Linked DNA regions of Caenorhabditis elegans. The protein of the gene in region 2 interacts with the protein of the main gene of each other region in a biochemical or structural test. Each region holds a gene or a part of one and is shown on either strand. Other genes may lie near its edges.

The links.
Region 1: the proteins of npr-35 (region 2) and nlp-10 interact in a test that uses a peptide from one of them, tested with the Caenorhabditis elegans proteins (one large-scale study listed by BioGRID).

The regions. Positions count from the first base shown.
Region 1 is NC_003281.10:3,933,621-3,937,548, reverse strand, and holds the start of nlp-10 (Neuropeptide-Like Protein), read left to right. Parts: upstream 1-1,640; 5' UTR 1,641-1,683; coding exon 1,684-1,741; intron 1,742-2,748; coding exon 2,749-2,841; intron 2,842-3,235; coding exon 3,236-3,376; intron 3,377-3,665; coding exon 3,666-3,769; 3' UTR 3,770-3,928.
Region 2 is NC_003282.8:7,742,174-7,746,101, reverse strand, and holds npr-35 (G-protein coupled receptors family 1 profile domain-containing protein), read right to left. Parts: upstream 2,264-3,928; 5' UTR 2,206-2,263; coding exon 1,917-2,205; intron 1,649-1,916; coding exon 1,419-1,648; intron 1,373-1,418; coding exon 1,190-1,372; intron 1,045-1,189; coding exon 892-1,044; intron 847-891; coding exon 719-846; intron 558-718; coding exon 386-557; 3' UTR 71-385; downstream 1-70. Other genes in the region: klo-1 (Glycoside hydrolase family 1 protein), read left to right, coding at 1-70.

The DNA.
Region 1 (3,928 bases), on a different chromosome or scaffold from region 2:
CTCCCCCACTTTTTCTGAGAAGGGCAGTAGCTCCACAGGGAAGAGTTAATTTTGAATAAAATGCTATTTATATTATCATGTATTCGGTTATTTTTCTTATTATATTTTTTTAATTCCCGCTTTACTTTATCCACTTTAAAATTGTATTTTTCAAAATTTAGGCAACTCAAGTTCAAAATTATTGTAGTAAAAATAGGAAGTCTACTTTTAATATTAACAATAACAAATGATATAAAATTCAAATCATTAAAGAACGTAGGAGTTCAATATTTTAATATGTTATATTAAAAATGATATGTTGAGGAAATGCGAATATATGGACGGTGCCTAATGTGAGGAATTTCAGTAATTTAAAAACTAGCTTTAACCCCGGAGTGATTTAGATATTTAGAAAAATCCATCGAGATGCTGAAGTTTGAAAAAGAGGGGGAGGGGGAAACGGGGTAGAAAAGGAAAAGTACCAAAAAATCAATTACAGGCTCCGCCCTAATAATGGTTTCTTTTTTGGATTTGGAATTTTCTAACTATTTTATCAGTGTTTTTTCTTACTTTGTTCATTTTTCTATTCAAATTCATTCAGTAAAATTCTAAAATTTTGCAGTAGGCACATGTGTAGGCCGCCAAGAATTATGTGTTTTGTTCTAAGAATTTCTAAAAATATGTTGTATTTTCATTTATTTTTTCAATTTCCCCCACCCATTCTTATCCTTTCCAAAACCACCTGCATTTCTGAAAAAAAACTATTTTTTCTTTATTTTGCCAAAATCTCTCCCATATCCGAAGCCATAAATTTCCGTTGAATTTGTTCAGTTTTACGATTTTCGCATTAGCTTCGATTCGTTTTTTATGTAAATTTTTTCCCGAATCCAGGAACTTTTCAATTTAACTCTTAAAAATCTATTTCCATGCAAAAACGTTACCTCATCCTTCTTGCATAACGTCATTGTTTGCTCTTTTTGTTCCCGACGGCACCGCCCATTTTGCAACGTTTTCATTAAGTTGGTAGAGAATTGTTGGTGTAGAAATGAAAATAAAACAAAGAAATGCACAAAGAGCAACTTTTTGACCTTTTTTGTCTGGAACTACTTTTTTATACTTTTCAAGAAAAATCAGAATTTGTCTTATTACCTGAAACTTGTAAATACTTGAATGTTCTAACTTTTCAAAGAGAAATTGGCACAAAAGTTTTCAAAAGCCACGACAACGCAGGAGCCAGCAATTCAGCCAATACCTGAAGTCTAAGCCTACGCCTAAGCTTGCGCCTAAGCTTGAGCCTTAACCTAAGCCTATGCCTGTGCCTGTGCCTAGGCCCAAGCCCAATCCTGAGCATAAGCCTAAGTTTTAGCCTAAGCGTAAGTTCAAGCCTAAACCTAACCCTAGGGCTTTTTTTATTCTATATTTTATTTTTTTTTTTTTCAAATTATTCATTTTCTTTTTTGCTCTAACTCCCAGTAATTAATCACCAATCTATACACTGATTTTAAAAAGCAGCTGCAAAGTTCTATGACATTTCATTCCGTTCCCTTCTACGTAATTTCTCAGACACCCCGCTCTTTCATTGTGATTTCATGGGCATCTGATTTTGGAAAATGATTCAGTTTTCGTGTGCAAAATAACAACATTAACCATCATTTTTGCAGGTAAAAACAAAAAGCAGGCGCGCGCGTGGCCTTCTCCGCCAGAATGTGGTACATCGCTCTCTTGTTGGCCGTCATCGCCACCTCGGTCACAGCACAGAAAGGTTTGGAAATTCAAATTTTTAGAATGAATAGGAAATTAATATAGTGATAATTGTATTAAATAAAATTAATCGTGCTCAAGATTTTGAGCTGAAATTAAAATTTTTAAGGTTTTATCTCTTTGATTTTGCAAATGTCATGTCTCGACTTAGAAAACTTATATCTCAGAATTTTTTTTTTTTTTGAAAGTATTTGAAAGTGTTTGAAAGTGTTCAATATCAAACGTAGAATAATATTCTACACGCAACTTGCCAGTTGACATCTTTTTGATAATAAAACAAGTAAGTTTTAGTAGCTTCAGGAAGAATGCCCCCGTTCTCTTCTGTTCCAATTCAATTGCTCATAATTTAATTGTTTTTGATCATATCAAAAAATGTTTAATTGTGAAATTGTAGGAAAATATTTGTCAAGTACTTTGTTAATTAATGACTTTTTGATAAATCAAAAGCAAGAAAGATATAAGCTTTCAAAGTTGGCACAAATTGAAAAATATTAAATCCCCTCCGCATTCTTTGTAAATTCAACTTCCTAAAATTATATTTTTGTACATAGCAATTTATTTTTTGGAAATTTGTGAATTGAAAAAAGTATTTGTAGTTTTTTTTGTTCATGTTTTGTTTTGAAATTGAAGGTTTTTTGGTACTTTTCCGATTTCTGCCCCCAAAATGTTTTTCAATTTTTTAATTTAATTCACACGTGTATGTTTATTTCAATAGTATTTCAACTTTTAGGCTTACTATTAGAAAACAACAATACTAACAAGCCTGAAATTACAAAGAAGTTCACGTTTCAATAATGAAATTTTCGAAAACATTTTGGGGGGCAGAAATCGGAAAAGTACCATTTTTTTGTGAAAAATTTGATAACACGAAGGATATTACGCTTAAAGTTGTCACAAGTTAAAAAAGAAGGTATTTTTGCGATGAAAATTTACTCGGAATTTTTAATCTTAAAATTGTTGTTATAAATATTATTGATATAATTCCATTAACCTTATCAAATTTTACAGCAGACGACGAGCCAATCGTCTTCCTGGTTCGAGTTCCCATTGATGAAATGGACGATGATTCAAGTCTTCTCGAGTCATACTATCATCCAAGAGGTTAGTTTTTTTTGGAGGTCACTTGACTTATTTTAAGGAAATGAAATAGGAAATGAAACTAGAGAATGGGGTGAGACCAAAGTGGAATATTTTGTTTTGAAATTAGAGTTTGGTTTCGGTTTGCAACAAAAAAATAGTGATCCGGAAGCGCACGGGGTGGGCGTTTTATGGCAAAGATCGGGTTGCAAATATGAAACTTTTTTCTTTGGTTTTTTGTATTTCTAAGAGCTTTTGAATAGGCATGAAATCATTCTAGGCTGTAGGCAAAACTTTACCTACCTACGGGCCTACGAGGCCGGTGTATTTCTCGGGTTTTATAAATTAAAACTTGAGTTCAAAACCTTCCTTCAAATAAAATTTTTTAAAAAGTTTTTCCATAATCAATTTTTTGCAGATATATTATCAAAACGAGCGATTCCATTCAACGGCGGTATGTACGGCAAACGATCAACAATGCCGTTCTCAGGTGGAATGTACGGAAAGAGATCCGGACAGATTTTTGCTCAACGAAGAGCCGCTATTCCATTTTCTGGGGGTAAGTATGAATGTAGGCACTTTGCAAGTTAACCTGCGCGGGTAAACATGGTGCATTGAACGTTTAAGCATATGATCTACCTATGCCTACCTCATCACCAAAGTTTCAACAATTTTTCATTAAAATTGAAAGTTACAAAATACTTTGAATTTTCCGCCGAAACGCTTCAAATTGGTGCCAAGTTTTCAAAGTTTTCAAAATCAATCTTAGGCCAAAACCAAAGCTTAAGCCTAAGTTTAAGCCCAAGCCTAAACCTAAACTTATTCTTTCAAAAAACTATTTTTTTCAGGAATGTATGGAAAGCGTTCGTTGGTGCCACAAAGTTATTCGAATAACGAAAATCAAATAAAACGAGGAGCAATGCCGTTTTCTGGTGGTATGTACGGACGATGATGATTTGTGCTGCATTTTCTGGGAAATTTCAATTATTATCTCTTTGCTCCATCCATTTTTTTTAAAACCAGATCACTCTGTTTCTTTTACTCTTTTCTCTTCCACATCCTCTATCGATCTCAATCTATCTGATCTCATTCCAATTGGGGGATTTATGAT
Region 2 (3,928 bases):
CATGAAATATTCGGCTAAATATTATCAAACTTTTATTCGCGAATTTAAAAAGCATCATAATCTTTTGTAGAATGGATACAAATGTATTGATAATAAATAGATTGCATGCTAGTAAAAACATTTAAAGCATTTGTGATGGTTGAAACAATAGAAAACACGTGGAAATGGAAAACCGTAATTGAAAAAAGGAACATGGAAAACGTTTAGTTGTAGGAAACAGTTGATTAAAAAAAAACTTTCTCTATTGTTGATTAATACACTACATAATTTTTTAATTCAATCCGTAATAATGTTTTCATGTTTTCGAATACCTAAGATTCTGAAAATGTTTGAACTCCTAACGTTCTAGATATAAAAATATTCATATTCAATGATTTTAAAAAGTTTAACAATCAGAAGTAGATCTTTCCACCTGTTTTCCATCTAGTTCAATAAGTAAACTAGATGCTCCACCTAAATTTGTTGGTTCAGTTCCAAAATTAGACATTGAAATTGTTGCAGTTGATTTGAAGCCACGAGAGTGACGACGGAGTATTGTGCTTCGGACTCTTTCGTATCTGAAAATATACCGATTATTTGAAAATAAATTTAGTCTTAAAAATAAACGTTAGAAACGCATTTTACAGGAAAATGCATTTACAAGAGATAAATAATACATTTGAATAAAACTAATAAATACAAAAGAAGTAAACTAAAAGTGTCAAAAGCTTTTGCTCACCTTGTCTTACATGGCATCAGTAATATACTTTTGAAAGCTCTTCTGTACTTGTGACTGTATGCAATATAAATTATTGGATTTAAAGAACTCGATAGTAATGACATCCATTGGAATATTGGCCGAATCAACTGAAATTCTTGCTTTTTTAATAAGATAAATATGTAAACAGCTACCATTGAAGTAATTTGAAAAAGATCCGATCGCTGATCAGCAAAGAAGAAAAAATATGTGAAGATGCAATAGAGAGGTAACCAGCAACAAGCAAATACAATTATTACTGTTAACATCATTGTGGCAACTCGTAGTTTTACTCGATCTTCTCGGGCCTAAAAATATTAATATCAATTTACACATAGAAATTTAATGGAATCATTCTAATATCTAGTTTTTGCTAAAAATTTAAAAGAGCCTCGTAAAATAATTTCTTGGCTATCGATTTTTTTGATTTGTTTAAAAATATATAAAACTTACTCTTGCATCAACTGCCAGACTTCTATGTGTTGATACAGTGATAAATATTCTCGTGTATAGACCCGAAATCAAACCAAATGGAACTATGAAAGCCAGCAATAAGTTAACAAATAAAAAATATAATTTTTGATCCGTTTGTGACGTACATAATCGGTAACCATAACTGCCTTCTTGCCATACTATCTGAAATGCATTTTTTGAAAAAAAAACAACGATTTTAAATTTATACCAAATCATAGTTATACCAATTAGGTATTCCGAATATTGCAGCTACTAGCCAAACAGCAAATATAACATATTTTGTATATTCTCGATCCCAGCTAGTGTTGTATTTCAACGTATGGCAAATAGCTAGATAACGATCAGCCGTCACTGCAACCAAGGTGTAAACTGATGCAAATGACGTAGATGCGTTAGCCCATGTGGACAATCGGCAGAAAAATTGACCCCAAAGCCATTCTGAAAATATAAAGCTGTTTTCATTAAAAACGGAAATTTTGCCAAAATATCCCTATAATAGTCTTTTGAGAACCACTTTCAAAAAATGTCAAAATTCTCTGTCAAATTGCCAAAAATTTTAAAAATATTTGATTTTTTGAGAAATTTTGAGCACTGCTGCAGAATTCATACAAAGGATACGATTTTTGCTCAATTTCAAAATTTTTGATTCACACCGAAAACTGAGTAAAAAGTTATTCTGGAAAAATAATTTAAAAAATAACCTTACCTGTGAAAATGCTATTAATCAACGTAGTTGGCAGACAAATCCATAAAATAAACAGATCAGCAAGTGCAAGAGACAAAATTAGATAATCCGTGGTTATATTTAAATTCTTATGAGCCCAAACCGCTAAGACAACAAACGTGTTTCCAAGTACACCAGTGAAGAATACAGCTCCATATGCAACTGTATAAAGAACAGTTAGTTGATATGAATGTCTAAGTAGAGGGACTGGTTCAAGTTGTTCAACATCTGCATATAATGGCTCTACAAATGACGTATTCATTGTTTCCATTTGAACAGTTGCAAAAGTTCAAAAATTTGACATTGGCAGTTTTGGAGATTTTCTGAAATAAATGTATCTTTAAATAACCTGCGGAAGTTGAGTAGAGCATCAAAATCAGAATATAACAACTAATAAAATACAAAATACAAATTACTAGAAAAAGAGAGAAAAAAGAGAAAAATGATGATGGATAAGAAAAAGAAGAAGCCGTCTGAAGATAACCCAATGAAATGACGAAATGCATTAGTAGCGTCCCCCAAGAGAAAAAAGTTTCCCAATGAATTAAGGACGAAAATGAAATAGTTTTGACAATGAACTCAGTATCTATCATGTTAAGATATGATATTGCTACCTACAGTTGTGTCTATAATATCCGTTTTCGGGCTTTGCTTATTTGTAGAAAACCCTTGTTCTAACAAACGTTACAAGTGAATATAGCAAGAACGAGATCGCTGAATTCCGGCCGTTGTATCATCTGTCCAGAATGTTGTGAAATGATCAACATTGTTTTAACATGCAGACAACATTATAAACATCAACTTTACAGTTAAACTTTTTAAAGGTTCCACGTTTTTAGTTATACTCAGTCTAAAAAGTTAAAAAACGATTATGTGATAAACGAAGCATGTAGATACTCTTGGACACCATTCTAGCTTTACCCATTTTAAATGTCATTTGATGAATTCCTAAATGTTTCTGTTTCATTTATTGAATAAATAGGGAGGAAGATACTAAAAAACAGTTTTAGTGGGATTTGACCAATCCGTTTCGGATGACACAAACTGAGTTATAATATTGTAGTGTAGAAAAGTGAAAATGTGCTTTGTCATTAATTGATGCTCGTCTTGATTTCTTGTAAATTCTTTTGGCGGCAAGCTCATAGAGCCTAGGATCACATGAAAAGGTGGAGAAGAAAATAGAAAAAGTGTGAAGAAACCGCCCTCTATCATCATCATTGCCGGCACTTCCTTTGCCCCCTGCACCCAAAACTATATTGAGCCAATTACTACTGACTAATAGTTTGAGGACTCTGAGATTCTTGGAAAATCTGAGAAAATATAAAAATAAGAGAAAAGAGCAAAGATACATAAAAAAACATGTGTTGAAACAGAGAGATACGAAAACAGAGAAACTTGTCAAGCGGTCATGATGGGATATAAAAAGAGATGAAGTCACTGGGTAAATAGATTACGGACACTGGAAAACGGACAGAAATGGAATAAAAGTGTTCGTTTGACGGAAATATTTGGGTTCGAGTTGTAAATGTGATTTATATATTGAATTTGGAAGTTTGACAGGGATAATGTTCTTCTCGACCACAATGTAATAGTTTTTAAAAGTGCACTATTGTCTTAAAACACTCCAAAACTTTCTTAGATTTTTCAAAATCTTTAGTCAAAGTCAGCTTGCAAAATTTTCCAACTTTTCAACTTTTCAACAAATCAACTTTTCGAGCATCGCTGTAGGTACTAGACCAGGGGGTGTGCATCAAATCTCTAAATTTGCCGAGCTCGGTGGACAGCAATTTTGGAAAATTTGCCGCACGCCCTTGTGCTAGAGGACTCTGAAAAATTTCCCACGAACTCATCAAATATTCACTAAAAAGACTCCAACAAAAATCCTGACACAATTCTCTTGAATTCGAGACTTTCAGGTAACAACATTATTACGTGAAACTAGAATTTCGGCTCCTTGACTTTTCTAATGTTTTTGAAAAACAACGAAACTTTGT